2 linked regions of the Diceros bicornis minor genome follow. The protein of the gene in region 1 purifies or fractionates together with the protein of each later gene. This does not show direct contact. Links are inferred from orthologs where the notes say so. Each region holds a gene or a part of one and is shown in the gene's direction. Other genes may lie near its edges.

Region 1 (10,769 bases):
AAAATTAGAGGTTACTGTGGGCTAGAAGTGTTGGGGCAGGTTTCACTTGAGCTCGAGGGTCTAGAGGTATCAGAAAAGCAATGTGGAGGGAGACCTGAGTGAGAATACTGGAATAGGTATAGGTGGAGGTAACAGTGGAAACCCTGACTGCTAGGCTGAGGAATTTTTATTTTAAACAGTAGGCAGTAGGCGACAGGGAACCATAGAATGTTTTTGCCCTTAAGTAGGACGTAGAACACAACAAAATAATTCAGAGATGAGTCTGTTCACAAAGTTCTATCAAAGTAGATAGAAAAAGCAGACTGGCTAGACTATAATAATTTAGGTGTGAGGTGTTGTGAGTCTAGGATGATGGTGATATCAATTGGAGAGGAAGGGAGAGAATTGAGACGGTAATAAAAAAAGAAAGCTTTATAATAGAACAAGTAATAGGAGTGAAGAGGGAATTGGGGATTCTCAAAAAAAAAAATTTTTTTTTTTTGGAAGAATATTAGCCCTAAGCTAACGTCTGTTGCCAATCCTCTTTTTTTGCTGAGGAAGATTGGCCCTGGGCTAAAGTCTGTGCCCATCTTCCTCTACTTTATATGGGACGCCGCCTCAGCATGGCTTGATCAGCGGTGCGCAGGTCTGCCCCAGGATCTGAACTCGCGAACCCCAAGCAGGGGGAGCAGAGTGAGCGAACTTAACTGCTACACCACCTGCCCGGCCCCTCAAAGTTTTGAATTTGAGTTTAAGCCACAGGCTCAGCCCTCCTTTAGGCTGGATCAGGAGAAAACTTCTCTAACAGGGATTGAATCCAAACATGTTTTAGGCATAAATGGTCGTTCTGCTACCCTTACCTTGTCACTCCCTCGTCAACATAGGCAACTGCTGAGTGGGTACAGTAGATACCCTCTTATGGTTAGAGGGTCCCTCTAGTGGTGAGCATTAGCTGCTACTTATTCTATAACTAGGCTGCAATCTATTTTCATATGCAAGTAGGGCCTATTGTAAAACTTCTATAACTAAAGTTAGGAAAATCAAAACCGTAGGATAATAAAGCTGGAAATCCTAGTCTAATGTTTTACCCTTAAGCATGTCAATCTCAGCTATTCTGAAAGTTACTCAGCAGAGTTGGAGTCTTATTCATTCTTTAAACAAAGATTTGCCAGTTAAAACAGATTTCAGATTAAAATGTTTTTTTCTTTAGTTTTTCAAGGACACAAAAAGCAGGTCAATATCATCTCCTGCAAAATAATTTCTTAAAAGTCCATTATAAAGCATCTCCTTGCTGTTTCCAATTTCTCTCCTCTCTTTTAAAAAATTTTTTATTATGGAAATTTCCAAATGAAAAGTTTAGTAGTTTAATGAACTGCCATGTATGCATTACCCAGCTTCAATAATTATCAACATAAATAAGGCCAATCTGTTTCATCTATACTTTCTACCTCACCCCTACTTTCTTGCTGTACCTCCAAAGGATTAAGTTAAAATAAATCCCAGACATCATATCCTTTCATCCATAAATATTTCAACAAGTAACTCAAGAGATAAGGACTCTTCTTAAAAACATAACTATGACATTATCATGCCTTAAAAAACTAATAATTTCTTAATAACAAATACCCAGTCAGTGGTCAAAGTTAGTCAATTGTCTTACAAATGAATTTTTACAAATAGTTTTTTTGACCCCAATCTCTGTTGAATACACTCCAAGTTTTTGCCCCCACCACCCAACCAAAGTATCTTTTACTAAAGTCGCTGATGACCTCTGTGTTGCTAAATATATCACTCCTCATCTTACTTGACATGTCAACAGCATCTGATAGTTTATTACTCCCTCCTTGAAACATTTTCTTCACTTCGCTTCTGGGATACTACTTTCTCAGGTTCTTACTAAGATGCTGTGCTGCTGCATCTCCATCCTCTTTTGGTTCCTCTTCTCTGTAACCTTTAAATGTTGAAGCATCCCAGGACTCAATCATAGGACTCCTTCTTTTAGTCTACATTCACTCCCTAGGTAATTTTAAAAAGCCCTTACAGTGGCCTAAAGATCCTGAACAATTTGTCCAACTCCCTTGTCACCTCATGATCTAAATACCATCTAAATATCAGCTAAAAACTCTCAAATTTCTATCTGCAGCCCAGACCTTTTTTCTGAACTGCAAACTCGTATATCCACCTGCTTATTTGACATCTCCATCTAGGTATCTTAAACCTAACATGTCCAAAAGCTGAATTTCTGGTTCCCACCCCTCCTAACTCATCTTTAGAAATAGTGACTCCATTCTTCTAGTTGCTTAGAACCAACTCTGGTGTCTTCCTTAAGACTCCCTTCTTTTACATCCTCCATTAAATCCATTGGCAAATTCTGTCAGTTTGTGCCTTTATGATATACTCGAAATCCTACCACATGTCACCATTTTCACCTCTTGTTACTGCCCTAGAATAAGCCTCCATCATATCTGATCACTGAAGTAGTCTCCTAACTGGTCTATCTCCATCCCCCCTTTTTCCCCAGTCTGTTCTCAATGCAGCAGCCAGAGTGATCCTATTAAAACCTTGTCAGATCCGTCAAGCCTCTGTTGAAAACTTTCCAGCAGCTCCTCATCTCACTCAGGGTCCTTAAAATGATCTATGAGGCTGTACATGATCCAACCTCTCTTTACTCCCTCTGCCTCTCTGGTCTCATTTCTTCTCTCTCCCTCCACTCCAGCCTCTACTGGCCTCCTTGTTCTTAAGTACACTCTTGCCTGAGGCATTTGCACTTACTCTTTCACCCAGGTATCCTTCAGGTCTCTGTTCAAATGTAAGTCTTTCCTAATATCCTATTTACGTAAAATAGAAACCACATCCACTCAGGTTTGTTTTTCTCTGCACTGCCTACCATTAATTGACAATACTGTAGTTCCCCCTTATCCGCGGTTTCACTTGCCGTGGTTTGTTACCTGAAATCAACCACAGTCCAAAAATATTAAATGGAAAATTCCAGAAATAAACAATTTGTAAGTTTTAAACTGCACACCATTTTAAGTACTGTGATGAAATCTTGCGCTGTCCACCTCCCATCCCACCCAGGATGTGAATCATCCATTAGCCCAGCATATCCACGGTGTATATGCTACCAGCCCATTACTCACTTAGTACTCATTTCGGTTATCAGATTGACTGTATCCCAGTGCTTGTGTTCAAGTAACCCTTATTTTACTTAATAATGGCCCCAAAGCCAATTTTATTATTTATTGTTGTTAATCTCTTACAGTACCTAATTTATAAGTTAAATTTTAGCATATGTATGTATGTATAGGAAAAAACATAGCATATATGAGGTTTGGTACTATCTGTGGTTTCAGGCAACCACTGGGGGTCTTGGAACAGATCCCTCAAGGATAAGGGGGGTCTACTGTATATATATTTACTTATTGGTTTATTGCTACCTTCCCCCATGGAATGTAAGCTCCCTAAGGGCAGGATTTTGTTTTGTTCCCTTCCAAGTGCCCAGAATAGTTCCTGGCCCACAGGTAAATGAATGAATTGTTTGTTTGTTTTTGTGAGGAAGATCAGCCCTGAGGTAACTTCCCATGCCAATCCTCCTCTTTTTGCTGAGGAAGACTGGCCCTGGGCTAACATCCATGCCCATCTTCCTCCACTTTATATGGGACGCTGCCACAGCATGGCTTGATGAGCGGTGCATCGGTGCGCGCCCAGGATCTGAACCTGCAAACCCCGGGCCACTGAAACGGAGCAGGTGCACTTAACCTATGCGCCAGCGGGCCGCCCCCTGAATGAATTATTTTTGTTTTTGCTTTTTTCATTATAGAGCTTTTGTTTTACTTAAATATGATCCTATCATCTTTTGTGTGCATTGTTGCAGCTTACATATCTCTTAATTGAGAAGCTTCTGACACGGTTCTAATAGGATATCTTCTCTATTTGAAGAAAGTTTTAGTTCTCCATTCTCCAGGTTGAATCAAATCGTCCTTATTAAGACCTATTTTTCACTATCTCATTTTTTTATGGTCACTATATTTTTGTCTTCTTCGCAATATCTCCATAGACTTTTAAAAGTGTACTAACTAAAAACTGGTCACAATCTATTAAATGTCTGACTAAAGCTGAGAAGGTGACACCTCTCTGCACAGATATCATGGATCATGTTTTCCCAGAACAGTGATGACGGTATTCGTTCAGTTCCTAGTCCCTTTGTTTGGGTTGAATGTTTGTCTTTGTTTACTTCCACATTTAGAAGAATACTAACTCTGGGGTGGCCCCGTGGCTTAGCGGTTAAGTGCGTGTGCTCCGCTGCTGGCGGCCGGAGCTCGGATCCCAGGCGCGCGCTGACGCACTGCTTCTCCGGCCATGCTGAGGCCGCGTCCCACATACAGCAACTAGAAGGATGTGCAGCTATGACATACAACTATCTACTGGGGCTTTGGGGGGAAAATTAATAAATAAATAAAATCTTTAAAAAAAAAAAAAGAATACTAACTTATAATTATCCCTGATGTTCAACTTGTCTTTGGAATTGTATTATCTTGATTAACCCAGAGCATTTTTTTGTTGATGAATTTTATATGTTATGAAATATTCTTCTCTTGATCTGATTTCAGCTATTTGTGTTGATTTCTATTTTGTACAATATTAATATAGCTACACATGCTTTCTTTTATTACTATTGCCTGGTATGTTGTTTTTCCCTCTTCCTTTATTTTTACCTTTTGTCACTTAGTTTGGTGTGTCTCTATTTACATTGTGCAGCTGTTTTTTAAAAAACATAATTCTTGTCTTGTTTTTAAAATATTTTGGTTATGTTTGAACTTGTCACTAATTATTTTTCTGTGCTTTCTTATTTTTTTTCCCCTTTCCTATCTGTGGTTATGTTGACAGATTTTTTTTTCTCTGGTGATATGGAGATTTTACACCTATACAAGCTCTGATGGTTACCAATAACTTTTGAACATATCCATTAAAACTTTAGTAACATCTAGGAAATACAACACTCCTCTCTCGCATCTCTAAGTATGTGTGTGCATGGTGTGGCAGTGCCTGGTCCCTCTCTCCTTTCCCCTTTCCCTCCAAGATAGACCTGGAATTTACAGTTTTACTTGGTGTGTGTGCGTGCGCGCGCGCGTGCGTGCGTGCGTAGGGGAAAGTAATCCAAAGCATTTTTGAATGTCATTCTTGATTAACAAACCAAAATGGTTTGTTTCTCATTCTTTGGGAGATTAGTTAAAGGTGCTGATTCATCAAACCTTTTCTGGGCACCTACCGCGTGTTAGGCTCTGTAGTGGGCTCAACAATTGCAGAGATTAAGACACCTTTCCTGCCCTTAATTAAATGGGAGACACAGATACACAAATAAATGCAGTTCAGGGAGTTAAGGACTTTAGCAGTTAGATGAAAAAGTGGTATGGGGAACAAAGGGAGGTGGAACGTCATTAGTCGTGCCACCACTTTTTAAAAAGGACGATGCTAGTACAGATACATCCACAGCAGTTTCAGAGGTTTCCCTACAGCTTCTCTTAGATCCCGCCAGGAGGGAACTCCACCAGAGAACTTGAATGGTACAAAAGGTGGAGGTGGGCCCTCTTTGTGTGTGTCCCCCCCGCCCCCAAACGTCCTATTTTGGCTGCGCCTACAACTCCCAGAACGCAACGCGGAGGATGAAGGCGGAACCAGCTGGCCGAAGCGAGGTCTGTGATTGGTGGTGAGCGCCGGGCCAATTGGAGGAGTTGTTGTTAGGCGGTCCAGGAGAACCGGTCGGGGAGGGAGGAAGCTGGCAAGATGGTGTTGGAAAGCACTATGGTTTGGTGAGGAACTATCTCGGGGCTCCGTGGGGGGCGGGATTGGGTAGGGGGCGCCTGTCGCGCGGAGGCCGGACGGGCCTGAGGAGGAGGAGGGGGGCTGATGGGCGAGATGCGGCCTTGGGCCGGGAGGGAAGGAGCCGCATCGACTTCCTGAGTCATCCCGAGGCCGGGAGAAGAGGACAGGCCCGGGGTACCCCCCATTAACCCTCAACCTGCAGACAGCCAGTGACCGGCCGATCCCTGCTACCTTTCTTTATTCCGCGTCATCTTCCCTAGACCAGCCTCAGGTCTGTCTGTAGCCAGAGTCTTGTTTCTCGGACTTATCGTTATAGTTTTCTGCCCTCCTGTCTTCTTGTTTAAATAAAGGATGTTAGGAAGAGAGATTATAAATCCCTTCCCTGCCCCATTCCCTCTAACTCCGTTACCTTTCCCTGTATCATCTTCGAAGGTACTGTTTATAGATTGCTTTCTGTGTGTCAGACATTAATTTACTTTATCTCACTTAAACCTCACAACACTTCAAGGTAAATATCTCTCCATTTTACAGATGAAGATACCGAGTCTCAGCAATTTTAAATGACTTACCCAAAGTCACACAGCTAATTAAGTGGTGGAGCCAAGGTTTAAACCCAGGGCTATCGGATACAAAGGCTTCTGTCTGGTGAGCTAGCTCTCTTCATCAGTCGCAGACTTGGGCTGAGTGTTATGAGTTGGATTAGAAGCTGAGGACACAAACTTTTGCAAGGTTTCAAGAGTTTCTTCCAAGTGTGAGCATAGAGTATAATACAGACTAGTACACACACACAAATTGCCAGTTGGATGGAGCAGACACCTAAGAGTTTCCTTTTTTGGGGGAGGATAGCACTGCCAGATAAAATATAGGATGCCCGTTTAAATTTGGATTTCAGGTAAATAATACATTTTAATATAAGAAAATGGCAATAAGTGTGTCCCAAATAGTACATGAGACATACTTAGCCTAAAATCTTGTTTGTTATTTATCTGAAATTCAGATTTAAACTGGGAGTCTTGTATTTTTATTTGCTGAATCTGGCAACCTCTGGAGAGAACATGTTAGAGTAGAAAGAGGACAGGATTTGGAATCCCAAAACCTGTGTTTTTTGGTACTTCCCAGCTGCATGTTCTTGAGAATGTAGTAAATCTCCCTTAATCTATAAAATGGGAAAAATAGTAACACTCACTTTTCTTATAGCACAGGTAGGTAAAATGTATGTGATGGTGCTCTGTAAGCTATACAGCCCTGTACATACATTAGTTGCCATGGTACTTGAGAAAAGAAAGAATTTAAGTAAGAAAGAATTTAAGAGGGGTCTGGAAGGAACTTAGACAAATGTTGAGAAGGAGAGGCCATTACAGGTAGAGGGAAGGGCATACAGCTGCTGAAGTGTAAATACCCAAGGCATATTTAGGCATTAGGAAAGAGACTAGTGTGATATATGGTTGTCAGTTTAAGGCAGTTTTTTGTTTTTTTGTGTGTTTCTTTGGAAAGGTAGATGGGACCAGGTGGAAGACCACAAATGTCAAGCTGAGGAGGTTGAACTCTGTCCTGTACCCTTCAGTAAAGAACTATTGAAAAAGAGGGTGGTGGGCCGGCCCGGTGGCGCAAGCGGTTAAGTGCGCGCGCTCCGCTGCGGAGGCCCCGGGGTTCGCTGGTTCGGATCCCGGGCGCGCACCGACGCACCGCTTGGTAAGCCATGCTGTGGCGGCGTCCCATATAAAGTGGAGGAAGATAGGCACAGATGTTAGCCCAGGGCCGTCTTCCTCAGCAAAAAAAGAGGAGGATTGGCGGATGTTAGCTCAGGGCTGATCTCCTCACAGAAAAAAAAAAAAGAAAAAGAGGGTGGTGGAGGCAGAGCTGTATATAAAATGGCATTTAATATTATTGATCTGCCTTGATGTATAGGAGGAAAGATTTGGCCCAGAGAGATATATTGATGGCCTGTTGTACTATCCCTGGCACAGAATAATGATGAGAACCACTCCTTTTGTCTGTAGGGCCTCATGCTTTGCTGTACATCAGAATTCTCTGGAGGAGTTTCTTTCTTTCTTTCTTTCTTTTTTTTTTTTTTGTGAGGAAGATCAGCCCTGAGCTAACATCCATGCTAATCCTCCTCTTTTTGCTGAGGAAGACTGGCCCTGGGCTAACATGTGTGCCCATCTTTCTCCACTTTATATGGGACGCCACCACAGCATGGCCTTACATGTGGTGTCTCGGTGCGCGCCCGGGATCAGAACCCGGGCTGCCAGCAGCGAAGCACGCGCACTTAACCGCTACACCACGGGGCCGGCCCCTGGAGGAGTTTTTTAAAAGTTGCAAATATTTGACTCTATTCTCAATCTGCTGAGTCAGACTTCTAGCCAGGGACGTCCTGGCATCTGTATTCTTTTTTTAAATGAAGATTTTTAAAATTTTTTTATTTTTTATTTTTTGGTGAGGAAGATTAGCCCTGAGCTAACATCTGTTGCCAATACTCCTCTTTTTGCTGAGGAGGATTGGCCCTGGGCTAACATCCCTGCCCATCTTCCTCTACTTTATATGTGGGACACCTGCCACAGCATGGCTTGTTAATGATAAGCTGTGCATAGGTCCACACCTGGGATCCAAACCTGTGAACCCTGGGCCGCTGAAGCGGAGCGTGTGAACTTCACCACTATGCCACCGGGCCGGCCACTTAAATGAAGATTTTGGCTGGATAATATTGTAAGCCCTTATTTATTTATTTATTTATTTATTTATTTATTTGTGAGGAAGATCAGCCCTGAGCTAACATCTGATGCCAATCCTCCTCTTTTTTGGTGAGGAAGATTGGCTCTGTGTAAGCCCTTATTTTGATATAAATTTTTGTCGAGAAAAATTACATACTGTTGAGCAAAAGTAGTCACAAGAAATACATATATTATTCCAATCATTTAAAGTTCAAAATTGGGAAAACTAAACAATGTGTTTTTTAGGGATGCATATGTAGTGTTTTTAACACCACCACCACTACCGTCACCCTCCCACTGGTTCTGATACACAACAAACTGTCAGTTCTCGCTGTCTCTCAAGCCCCCTTTCTTACTCAGACACATTTCTTCCAGCCCTCATACATCTGCTGGTCTTGCCTACAATCCTTATACTTAGTAGCTATTCCATCTGGACCATCCTCAAAGCCTCCATTGTTTTTTATATTTGGACTCACTGGATTTGAAGCTAGAGAGGCAGTTACTTCCCTGCTGGAGAATAATCAGAAGCAATGTATCAGGAAAAAAAGAATATAATGCATGATCAGTAGCGTCAGCCCTTGACCTCCTTTAGGTAGAGTTTCCATTTTAAGAACTAGTCTGTTTCATGCTTACCGTTGGACGCTGTGATAAGTACTTTCTGTGCATTTAATCTTCATATCAATCCTATAAGGGTAGGTACAATAAAGCCCATTTTACACATGAGGTAACTGGACCTTAGAGAAGTTAAGTACCTTCCTTAGGATCATAGAATTAGTAAGGAGTAGAGTGGGAATTTGAACCTGAGCCTGAATACTGCCCTTTACACCCTTTTCTACTTGCCTTCCAGTAGCTGCTGCTGCTGCTTTTTTTTTTGTGAGGAAGATCAGCCCTGAGCTAACATTCGTGCTAATCCTTCTCTTTTTGCTGAGGAAGACTGGCTCTGAGCTAACATCTATTGCCAATCCTCCTCCTTTTTTTCCCTGCTTCTCCCCAAAGCCCCAGTAAATAGTTGTATGTCATAGTTGCACATCCTTCTAGTTGCTGTGTGTGGGACGCGGCCTCAGCATGGCCGGAGAAGGGGTGCATCAGGTGTGCGCCCGGGATCCAAACCCCGGGCCGCCAGTAAGGGAGCGCGCGCACTTAACCACTAAGCCACGGGCCGGCCCCCAGTAGCTTCTTAATTAACTCTTCATCATTTTTGTTTTGTATTTATTGCCAGGCAAGGGATACTATAGAAGAAAATTGCCCCCAAGCCCATATTTTGCTTGCCATTAGAAATGAGGTGTCTCATCTAGGATGCTGCTTTCTTCCATCAACACAGATGGAATCACTGACTATTAGAATTCTAAGGGGGGCTGGCCCCGTGGCTTAGCGGTTAAGTGCGCAAGCTCCGCTGCTGGCGGCCCGGGTTCGGATCCTGGGTGCGCACCGACGCACCGCTTCTCCGGCCATGCTGAGGCTGTGTCCCCCACAGAGCAACTAGAAGGATGTGCAGCTATGACATACAACTATCTACTGGGGCTTTGGGGGAAAAATAAATAAATAAAATTATAAAAAAAAAAATAGAGTTCTAAGGGACCTTAGGTCCATCAAGAATTGATCCTGTTCAGGGGCTTATGTAACTGCTTCGCTTATCTGCTGCCTTTGGGTCTCCGGGAAGCTGGAGCTTGTATTTCATGTGATCTGGATTCTTGTAGATTGCGAAAAGATGCAGAGATAGAAGAGGTGAGACCCCAAATCCATGAAGGCTCATATTTGCAGTTCATTCCAACTGCCAAAGCTGTTAAACATTTAATCAGATGGGTGCATTGTGCTTTCTTGCACTCATTGCTGCCGAGTGTGTTATTTTATAAATATTTTTAAGTTGCCGTCTTCATTTCCTACCTTTGGAATACTCCCGTTTGAGTGGCAGACTTAGAATATTCACCTATGACAATGCTTAATAACACTTTAAATGCACCTTATAAAAAGATGGTTGTGGTGTATCAGTAGATTGCAACTTTTGGTGCTTATCAGAATCACTTGTGGAGAGGAGAGGTGAGATTTTTTTTCCTCCTTGGTCATTTTGAGTCAGTAAGTCTGGAGTAAGGCTTGTTCATCTGATTATTTAAGAAAAAAAAACTTGCAGGTGATTTCTGTGTTCCACAAAGACTGAGCCACTGCCATGCACCACAGTGCCCCTCACAGGAGAAGTGTTGAAAGAGGGGAGTTCCCTGGAATTGGAGAGGATGTCTGAGAGAGATCCTATAATATGTC
Region 2 (10,581 bases), on another chromosome or scaffold:
GGACTATGAGAGAGATAAAGTCATGTATGACATATCTCTAGCAGAACTATTTATAAAATCAGCAAAGTGAACCATGGCAGCTGTGAGTCGTGATAGAAGGCCTTCTTTCAGTGACTAGCTGAACTTGATAAGAACGAGTGAGTCTGAAGCAAATTATATTCTTGTATGTGAGGAAGATCAGCCCTGTGCTAACATCTGCCAATCCTCTTCTTTTTTTTGCTGAGGAAGACTGGCCCTGGGCTAACATCCGTGCCCATCTTCCTCCACTTTATATGGGACACCGCCACAGCATAGCTTGCCAAGCTTTGCATCAGTGCACACCTGGGATCCGAACCGGCGAACCCCGGGCTGCCGCAGCGGAGCGCGCATTTAACCACTGGCTGCCGCAGCGGAGCGCGCATTTAACCACTTGCGCCACCGGGCCGGCCCCACAAATTATAGTTAAGAGGAAGGTCAGGAGTCATTTCTGTGAAGTGAAGAAGTTTATGCGTTTTCTTCCCATGTTTATCCTGGCCTGATTATTAGAACATATTCCTTCATAAAGCATTGTCTGCTCATTCCAGCTGGAAATTTTCTCTCCTTTTTTTGAACCACTACAATATGTTATTTGTATTTCTGCTATGGCACTTACCACATTTTAATTTGTATTATTAGCTTCTGTAGAAGTGTCTTATTTCTCTTTCAATGTTCCTGGAGGAGAGATCTTTCAAAGAATTATCACATTACCTTGTACGTAGTAAGTGCATAATAAATGTTACATAATAGTAGACAAGTTATCATCAAATAATGTCTCTCAAAATATGGACTCCTTGCATCAGCTACCCTGGGTGCTTGTTAAAATTCAGATTCCCAGGCCACGCTCCAGCTCTACTGAAGCAGAATCTCTAGGTGTGAAACTGGGAACCCACGTTTTAATGAACTCACTACAGCTTGAGAATAGACAATTCCTAGACACTATGAATTTCAGGGTATGATAGTTATATTAAGGTGTGGGATGGCAAATAGGTTTTATCTTGATTGTTGACTCTGGTTCCAGGTGCTGCTGAGTAGAATTCTGAGGCTGAGGCTAAACTCTGGGAACCCGTGGCGTTTAAGAGGGATGCCCGCCATGGCCAAGTGAAGGATGGGGTGGAGAAGTTTGTGTGCAGCATACTTAACATTTCTGAATGTGTTAATCTCAGGCGTGGAGAGAGTGTCCCCACCCTCCTAAAAATAATCACAAGCTGTCCTTGCAGAAGTGTTAGCGTCTGCAAGATTTTTCTAAAATTTTCGTGGAAATCCCAGGAAATGGGGTTTTCGGGGTGGCATATGCAGACTTCAAAGAAAAATGATAACGTCTTTTGAGAAAATTTCATCCACCAAAAGCTTATTTTACTTAATGAAATTAAGCATTAGCTAAACAACACAAGGAGACCAATTAACTGCGAATATTATTTTTTGTTTTAGTTGTTACTAATAAGGCAAGGAAGAAACATGGGCGTTCCTTGTAGAGTCTTGCATGGAACCTCCTTTCCTGCTTGTGCTTTCTTTCTTTTTTATTATTAAATATACTATTTATAATCATTGAAGAAATTTAGAAAATATAGATGGGAAAAAAATCCCCTAAAAGAGCAGCACCATGTGATAATGTCTGCTAAAAGTTTCGACGCACATATATAAAGTCTGTTTCTGTATAACGTTGAGTGCAACCTTGAGAGGACTAAGCAGCTGCATAGTGTATAACTGAATGAGTTACACACTTCTCTGAAGGTCAGCCTTGTCATCAGTAGCGTAGGGACGACAACTGCCACCTGGCTTGTGTCTCCAGGTTGTGTCAGGATCTCTCACGAGAGTGTGTGTCTCCAAGGACAGAAACATGTAGGAATTATCTTTAACTTCTGAGGATTTAGCACAGAGCCTGACACACTGGAGGCCCTGGAGAATTTGCTGTGCCTGCCATTGAGCTGCTTCCCATCTTAATTCACTGAACTGCGCTGGTTCTCTGGAGGATAACCAGGGAACCCCTTGCTACATACAAAGGTGTTCCTCAGTCCTCATCCTCTGACCTCTGACTTTTGTAATTTTCTTCCTGCCTCTCTGCTTTTTTGCTACCTCTTCTTTCCTATTTTACTCCCTATTTGTGGTTGTCTTTAAATATCTGCTATAACTCCTTGCTTTTCTATATATTTCCTAATGAACTCATCTACTTTAATGGTATCAACTATGACCTCTGTGCTGGCAACTCTCAAATATTTACCTGCAGCTTGCTATATTAATCTTCTAGCCTCAAATTTCCCTGATGTTTAATCATTTTTTTAAAAATTTTATATCAGTCAGGGTCACAACAGGAAAAAGATGGCACATTCAAAGTGGGTAATTGAGGACAGTTTAGGAAGGGGAATATTAACAAACCTGTAGACAGGGTTTAGGAGAAGCAAAAAGGGATGGTGTTGTTGAAGAGAAAATAAAGACAAAGACATCAGGAATTGAGTGGTGTGTGGAAGAGTGTTACTGTAAAGAAGGGGACCGGATCTAGGCTCTGAGGGCTGAAAGCAGGGAAGGAGAAAGATGGTAGTTCTTTTTAAACCAAAAGACCTCTCTTGGTATTAGGAAAGTGAAGTCTCTGAGTGTTGCTGATTAGCTGGGAGTATCTGGCCTACCAGTTAGAGGAGAGCTTGCTGTGTGGCTGGAGATGGTTCCTTCTATAAGTATGGAAGCCCATCTAGGAATTATGGGTTTCAGGTACCTCTGCTTCTTCTGAGAGATCCTGGCCTTGGGATTTTGGTGGCCAGTGTCTCTGCTTCTGTTGTGCAGTCAGGTCTGCAACAGCAGCAGCAGGCCAGGTGGGCAGGCCAGGGTTTCTCAGCTAGTATGCTGGTGCTACCAACAGCCAGGAGTGATTCCTACCCCTAGGCCTGAAGGGACAAGGGAAGACAGTGGTCACAGGAACACAAAAAGGGTAATGGTATGAAGAGCCTCCCGACAGGAGCTATGGCGGCCTTTGGTAGAGATACAATCAACCTGTGTCAACACAGCAGGATGAGAGCTGAGAGAATTCATAACTGGATCTCACTCTCTTTTACCCTTAAATCTCCAAGAAGCAGCTCCCACAAGGGATTCTATTGGTCCAGTCATTATAGGTCAGTATCCTGGGGCTAAGAGGAGGGTGAAGAAAGGTTGAGAGTGGATGTGAAGGGACACATGGAAAATAAACAACAAAATGCCCTCACATATCTGACTTTTACAATGCCTCTTTTTATCTTGCCTTTCAGGAATCTATGGGTTTCTAGAGTCTTGCTTTCATAAACACCTTCCCCCCTTAATATTTACTTTAGCTGCCTTAGTTGAGACTCTTTCTGTTTGCTTTTTAGACAAAACTGGGAGGACCATTGGTAATAATAATAATCCATCTGTTATGTACTGAGTTGTGTCCCCCCAAAATTCATAGGTTAAAGCCCTAACCTCCAACATGACTATATTTGGAGATAGGGCCTTTAGGAAGTAATTAAGGTTTAATGAGGTCATAAGGGTGGGGCCATAGGACTAGTGTCCTTACAAGAAGAGGAAGAGACATCAGGGATATGTGTGTGCACAGATAGAAGGCCACATGAGGACACAGTGAGAATGCGGCTATCTACAAGCCAAAGAGAGAGGCCTGAGGAGAAACCAACCCTGTTAGGCACCTTGATCCTGGACTTCCAGACTCCAGAACTGTGAGAAATAAATTTCTGTTGTTTAAGCCACCGAGTCTGTGGAATTTTGTTATGGCAGCCATTGCTAATATATTGTCGTTTATAAACATCTTTTATCGAGCACCTTATGTTCTAGTTCTTTGTGTACATCATCTATTATTACCTTTAACCCTCACAACCTTAGATAGTAGTTACTATTATTTTTTTGTGTGTGAGAGGAAGATCAGCCCTGAGCTAACATCCGTGCTAATCCTCCTCTTTTTGCTGAGGAACACCGGCTCTGAGCTAACATCTATTGCCAATCCTCCTCCTTTTTTCACCCCAAAGCCCCAGTAGATGGTTGTATGTCATAGTTGCACATCCTTCTAGTTGCTGCATGTGGGACGTGGCTGGAGAAACGGTGCGTCGGTGCGCGCCTGGGGTTCCGAACCCAGGCTGCCAGTAGCGGAGCGCGCGCACTTAACTGCTAAGCCACGGGGCCGGCCTGAAAGTAGTTATTATTAAGCCAATTGTCACAGACAAGAAAGCTGAGGTTCAGAGAGGTTAGTGGCTTGACCATGGCCAAAAAATAATAAGTAGCAGAGCATTATTATTGGAACTTCTGTCTTATTTGTCTCTAAAGCCATTACCCTGTGCTGGTATCACGTGAGAAAGGAATGTATTTTCTATGGCTCTGCTCTGGTTGGGTTGTTAGGAATAGTTATTTTATGTTTTTGCAGCACCCTTAGCCTTCTCTTTTCACACTTCTTGGGCTTCAATTATCACATAAACTACTGAATCTCAAGTCAGTAACCTTAGACTACTCTTTTTTTTTTAGCTCCAGACTCATTCTTCCTACTACTTAACTGTGCACCTCACCTGGATGTCCTGCAGGCATCTTAACTCAGTAAAAAGAGCCACAAGATTGACATATTTGCATTATCCTAGACTCCTTCCTCTGTCATTTCACTAAATTGGTCCAATTGGTCACTAAACCTTGTGATTTTTATCTTCTAATTGTTTCTCAAATATATCATTTCCTCTTCGTGTCCACTGCAGCTGCTCCCATAACTCAGTTCCTGGATTACCACAGTAACCTCCTAAACTAGTCTCACTGTCTTCCATCCTCCTCACTGCTACCGCAGGGCTTTTTCTAAAGTGTAATCACAAAACTGCCCTGCAGTGATTACTCCACTGGTTTCATGTTACAAATTCCTTTTGCTCCTCTGATCTGACCTCCTCTTCGGTTTCATCTCCTCAGCTAAATCCAAAAGCAAATCATTTCATGTCATCTAGCCTAATATTTCAAGGAGCAGGGGAGTGTTAAGACTGCCTTGAGTGCTTGCTTGACTTTCTACGAGGTGTGTGAACTTGGGAAAATTAGTCTACTCATGAAATAATAATAGAACCTACTTCACAGGGTTGTTGTGAGGATTAAATGAGCTAATATACATAAAGAACCTGTATCTTGTCTGGCATATAATTTGTTAAATATTAGCTATTAATATCAGCCCTCTCAACCCATGCATTTGCTCTGCTGGTTCCTCTGCCTAGAATACCCCTGTCATCTCTCAGCATCTGGCAAACCCTTTCTTTATCAAGATTCAGTTTAGGGGTCACATCTCCTAGCACATTTACCCTGCTCCATCCTCCTATCTCATTGCAAATTTCTTTGCTACTGTAACCATTGTTTGCGTCTATCACTAGACTGCGAGCTTCCCAAAGGTAGGATGGTGCTTTCATTTTTTTCAGGCAAAACTTAAAGACAGGTGCATATTTTCTAGATGACTGCACAGACAGCGCCCACGCGTAATGAAACCCGTAAATATGTTTCTAAAGTCTATTTCATCTAGTGTGGCGACTTGCCCGAATATGAGACACGACTATCCTCAAAGTACTTCCAGGAGGCCTTAAGACCTTAGACAGTACCTATGCACCCCGTAGAAAATGGGGTTCCCTTTCCACTTTCCCACCCCAAGGAGACTCCCGGCTAAAAGCCTCGGGTTTTGGAACCGCGGAGGAATACATGAACTTTTGAGTCTCAGTCTGCGCCTGCGCTGGTGACCGCTACCCGTCCGCGCCCACGCCACTCAGCCAGCGTGGGGCTCCTTAGCCGAGGGTGGGGCCACGGCTCGCGTTTTAGGATTGGGTGGTGGAAGCCAAAGCAGACGGCGCGGAAATGACGCCAAGGTGCGCAAGCGCCGGGGCCGTGGCGCGCGGGGGCTGCTGGGTGCCGCAAGCCTTTCCTCCCTCCGCGTCTCCCCTCCCCCGCCCGTCCCCGCCCCCTCGGCCGCTGTGCTCCCTGGCGTGACTCGGCACTGCGAGCCCCGGGAGAAGACGTCGCGGCCGCCACCTTCTCGGTCCAGGCCTCGGCCTTCCTGAGCCTCCCCCCTTCGTCTCGTGGGTCGTCTTTTCCTTCCGTTTCGAAGCCGGTGGCGTCGCGGCCGCCCTTGCCGGGCTCTCTGAGAATGGTGGGAGTGAAGCCGGTCGGGAGCGACCCGGATTTCCAGCCGGAGCTGAGCGGCGCGGGCTCTAGACTCGCCGTGGTCAAGTTCACCATGCGAGGGTGAGGCCGGGCTCGAGCCCTGGGGCCCCGGGTGTGCGCCCGTGCTTTCCCTTCGCTCTTTCCCGGCCCCGCTCCCACGCGGTCTCCTTCTGCTCCGGAATGTCCGGCGCTGACCGCAGCCCCAGGCCGCTGCCCAGTTAGGCCTCGGCTCTTGGGTGTGACCCCCCATTCGTGCACCAGGGCGTCTGTGGCGGGCATAAAGGCCTGGCCGGCGGTGTTCCCCAGCCCCAGCCCAGGAGATCCCCGCCCGCACCTTTTCAGTCATCAGACCGGCTCTGCTCTTGGGGGTGGTACGTCTCCGTTCTTTCTAGTCTGCGCGACTGTCCCCTTCTTTCCGGGGAGCCAGCTGTCACTTGCATCTTAGAAACTCTGCAGTCTTAATTTACCGAACACTTTGGTTCTCTTCACCACCTGGATATCTGTAAAGCCTTTGGGAGATTCAGATGGGGCTGTCCAACTGATCCGCATAGTGCTTAGTCCTAAGGCTAACCTAATGCATTTTAAATTAAGTTAATGCTGAGTCAGGATGCTTTTTAATTTTCTTAGTGTTTTTGTTACTCGTTTGGTTAGTAACTTTGTACTTTGTACTTTGGGCTCCCCTTTGTATGCGATTGCGTCTGATCACAGAAATTATGGTAGGTGTATATATACACAATACAGGTAGACAGGTGTCCAGAGGTCTGGGTTTGACCAAATAAACTCCATTTTTGACTTGATTTTCGAGGACAGGGATCTTGAAAGATGTTAACTGTCTTTGGTAAATCTCAACGTAATTTATAGGTCGTAGAGCTAGTGGATCTTCCATATTGGGTGTGCAGTGTTCCTGTGTGAGAGTGACACGTTGGAACTAGGCATTCAGAACCAAGATTTCAGCCAGTGTGTGTGTTCACTGAGCTCCCCTTGTGTATGTCAGTGCCTAGTCAGAAGGATTAGAGGTCTCCACTAATTTGCCTTGACTCCTTGGCATTATTTACACTTACACTAACTTGGAGAAATCTACTACAGGTACCACTGTTTATGTAACACATTTTATTGTCCAAGTAACTATAAACGTAAGGCATTATTTTAAATTTCAAAGCAACAAGTGTAGTTCCAGGCACAGGATTCAGTCAATGTTGAGTATGTAAGTGGTGCCATTAGGATTAGCTAGTTTTGGGATGGAAGTATGCAGATAGAGATGAGAGAAAGCTAGGACGTATTTTTGGACCAGTCTCTCTTATACAGAATTGAAAAGGGGCAGTACATTGGATTTTGTAGGGTGGAATAGAGTACTCGTTTGACATGTGAACTTTCACATTTACTAAACTGAAGAGGATAAAGATTTCATGTATAAAGACATGTTTAAAAGAAATGTCAAAATTCTGTAAGTGTGTCTCCCCAGCTTTAGCAATTTTGTGATGTCTGTGTTCTTAATGTGGGGGAATACCTGTACATTTGTTAAGTACTTACGCCAAAGTTGGAAAAGGGAAGAGATGATTTTAACAGTGAATCTCATTTTTAGTTCACTTTTCTAATTCTAGTCAGTGGGAGCATTTAGACTTTTGTCCCTCAATGATATACTCTTTTTTTCCCTTACCATAGCAGAGGGAGCGATGACAAAGGAATAAATAATTTCTTAATTAAAGTGAGAAAAGTGGGGAAACATTGCTACTAAGGAAACACTTCCATTAGCAGCATGGTATCATTTAACTGTAAACATAACTGCAGGTATTGGTTGATAAGGCACTGTGTTCTTATTTACTTTTAAAAAGGTATTTTGGTGGATGAAAATTTTATTTTGTTTGTAGGAACTGAGAGCAAACAAATAAAATGTTTGAATTTAGAGAACTTTTAAGTTCAGAAGCATATTTAGGTAACATTCATAAGTCTGATAAGATTGTGTTTGCCTTTCAAGTTCAACGTTTTGGCCATTCATTAATGCATTCCTGTGCCAGTGTGACCCCAGATTTATATACATGGGCATCAGTATTAGACCCTCAAACAGCTATATCCAGTAAAATCGTGTAAGAAACCTCTCAGGTCAAAGTTAATGTCCCATTTTAGGCCAGGAACATAGTTTCCTCCAGCACCTATTTCTTAACCCTAGTTTAAGCCTTATTCGTTATGCTCTACTTCTGTGCTTTATCCATCGTGTTAATTTTACTAAAACACTATACAGATTGTTGCTCTTCTGTTTAAGGGTCTTCAGTGCCTCTCCAGTATATTTTTTCAGTTGTTTTTTTAACTGTAGTAAAATATGTGTAACATAAAATTTACCATTTTAACCATTTTTAAGTGTAGCATTCAGTGGCATTAAGTACATTCACAATATTGTACCACTCTCACCATTATCTGTTTCCTAGATTTTTTTTTTTTTGTCATCTCAGACAGAAACTCTGTACGCATTAACAATAACTCCCAGTCTCCGCCTGACTCCACCCCACCAGTCCCTGGTTACCTCTCTTCTACTTTCTGTCTCTATGAATGTGCCTGTTCTTGGTATCTCGTATAAGTGAAATCATACAATATTTGTCCTTTTGTTTATGGCTTATTTCATGTAACATAATGTTTTCAAGGTTCATCCATGGTAGTAGTGTGTGTCAGGATTTCTTTCCTTTTTAAAGCTGAGTAATACTCCCATTGTACGTATATACACATATTGTTTATTGATCTGTCGGTAGATATTTAGGTTGTTTCTGCCTTTTGGCTATTGCGAATCATCCCGCTATGAACATTGTTCTGCAAGGATCTGTTTGAGTCCCTGCTTTCAGTTCTTTGGGGGATATACCTAGGAGTGGAATTGCTGGATTTTATGGTAATTCTATGCTTAACTTTTTGAGAAATCGCCAAACTATTTTCCACAGTGGCTGCACCATTTTGCATTCCCACCAGCAATGAATGAGAGTTCCAATTTCTCTACATACTTGCTACTCACTAACACTTTTTATATTTTAATAGCCATCCTAAATGAGTGTGAAGTGGTATCTGGTGGTTTTGGTTTGCATTTCCTTAATGACTAATGATGTTGAGCATCTTTTCATGTGCTTATTGGATATTTTTTATCTTCTTTGGAGAAATGTCTATTCAAGCCCTTTGCCCATTTTGAATTGCACTGTTTGTTTTTTTGTTGTTGAGTTGTAAGAGTTCTTTATATATTTTGGGTGTTAATCCCTTATCAGAGAAGATTGGCAAATATTTTCTCCCATTTTCACTTTCTTGGTAGTGTCCTTTCATGCACAAAGTTTTAAAATTTTGATGAAGTCCAGTTTATATATGTTTTCTTTTATTGCTTGTGCTTTTGGTGTCATATCCCAGAAATGATTGCCAAATTCAATGTCCTGAAGATTTTCCCCTATGTTTTCATCAAAGAATTTTATGGTTTTAGCTCTTAAGTTTAGGTCGTTGATCCATTTTGAGTTAATTTTTGTATAAGGTGTAAAGTAAGGGTCCAACGCATGGGGATATCCAGTTTTCCCAGCACCATTTGTTGAAAAAACTGTCTTTTCCCCAATGAATGGTCTTGGCACCCTTCTCCAGTGTTTTTTAAAGCAATTCAAATAGTTAACATTTACATATTATTTAGTCTGTGTAAGGGACTTGTGTAAGCAGTTATATTGACTCATTCAGTCCTCAAAATAATCTTTGAAATTATCCCCATTTTACAAATGAGCAAGTTAGAGGTTAAATAACTTGTTTAAGGTCCCATTGCTGAGTGCACTATTTGGATTGTTAAATGCCATCCTTGCTCTCCCAGCCTAAGCAGAAAGGAAATGCAGGTTCATCTCTGTGTATTGCATGGAGCCTGACATTTTTCAGTAAATGTTGCCTTGAATGATTTAGCTACACCTCTGCCTGCAAACTAATCTTATGACTGAGGACAATTCAGTTCACTCTCTGAAATTCTTTTCCCTACCTGAAAAATGGGAATAATAACATGTAACCTAACCATATTATTTAGAAAATGAAATTATATATGTGAATTATATCCTGTGGTAACATGTTTTTATAACTGTTATCTCCAAATTGTTACCTCTTAAATATACCCAGACACATTTTAGTGGTTATAAGCAGTGCCAGTTTTGTTGTTATCATTGGTGAGTAAGCTCCAACTTTTCACATTTTCTCCCCAATAAAACTCAGTATGAATGATTTTTGTCTTGAATTCATGAATGTATCACTTCTGTAGATATGTTAACCATATATCCAATTTTTTTAAAGGAGGTCTTTGTAGTTGGTTAGGTGTTATTGTTGCTATCCAAAAAGAATGTCAGTGTATATTAGGATTTTGAGTTCTAATGGTTATGGTAGTTTGTCCAAAATAATACATTATATATGTAGTATTAATTATATATTGCAAAATTGCTTCAGACTGAAAGTAGTTGACCG

What was found. The genes of interacting proteins can lie anywhere in the genome.
Region 2: the proteins of PSMD4 (region 1) and TXNL1 purify together in Homo sapiens (affinity purification with mass spectrometry; 3 studies listed by BioGRID, with this or other methods). This does not show direct contact. The link is inferred for Diceros bicornis minor from reciprocal best matches to the Homo sapiens genes PSMD4 and TXNL1.

What each region holds. Positions count from the first base shown.
Region 1 is NC_080743.1:55,516,233-55,527,001, forward strand, and holds the start of PSMD4 (26S proteasome non-ATPase regulatory subunit 4), read left to right. Parts: upstream 1-5,699; 5' UTR 5,700-5,763; coding exon 5,764-5,789; intron 5,790-10,769. UniProt on the Homo sapiens protein: Component of the 26S proteasome, a multiprotein complex involved in the ATP-dependent degradation of ubiquitinated proteins.
Region 2 is NC_080755.1:48,230,705-48,241,285, reverse strand, and holds the start of TXNL1 (thioredoxin-like protein 1), read left to right. Parts: upstream 1-5,960; 5' UTR 5,961-6,118; coding exon 6,119-6,216; intron 6,217-10,581. UniProt on the Homo sapiens protein: Active thioredoxin with a redox potential of about -250 mV.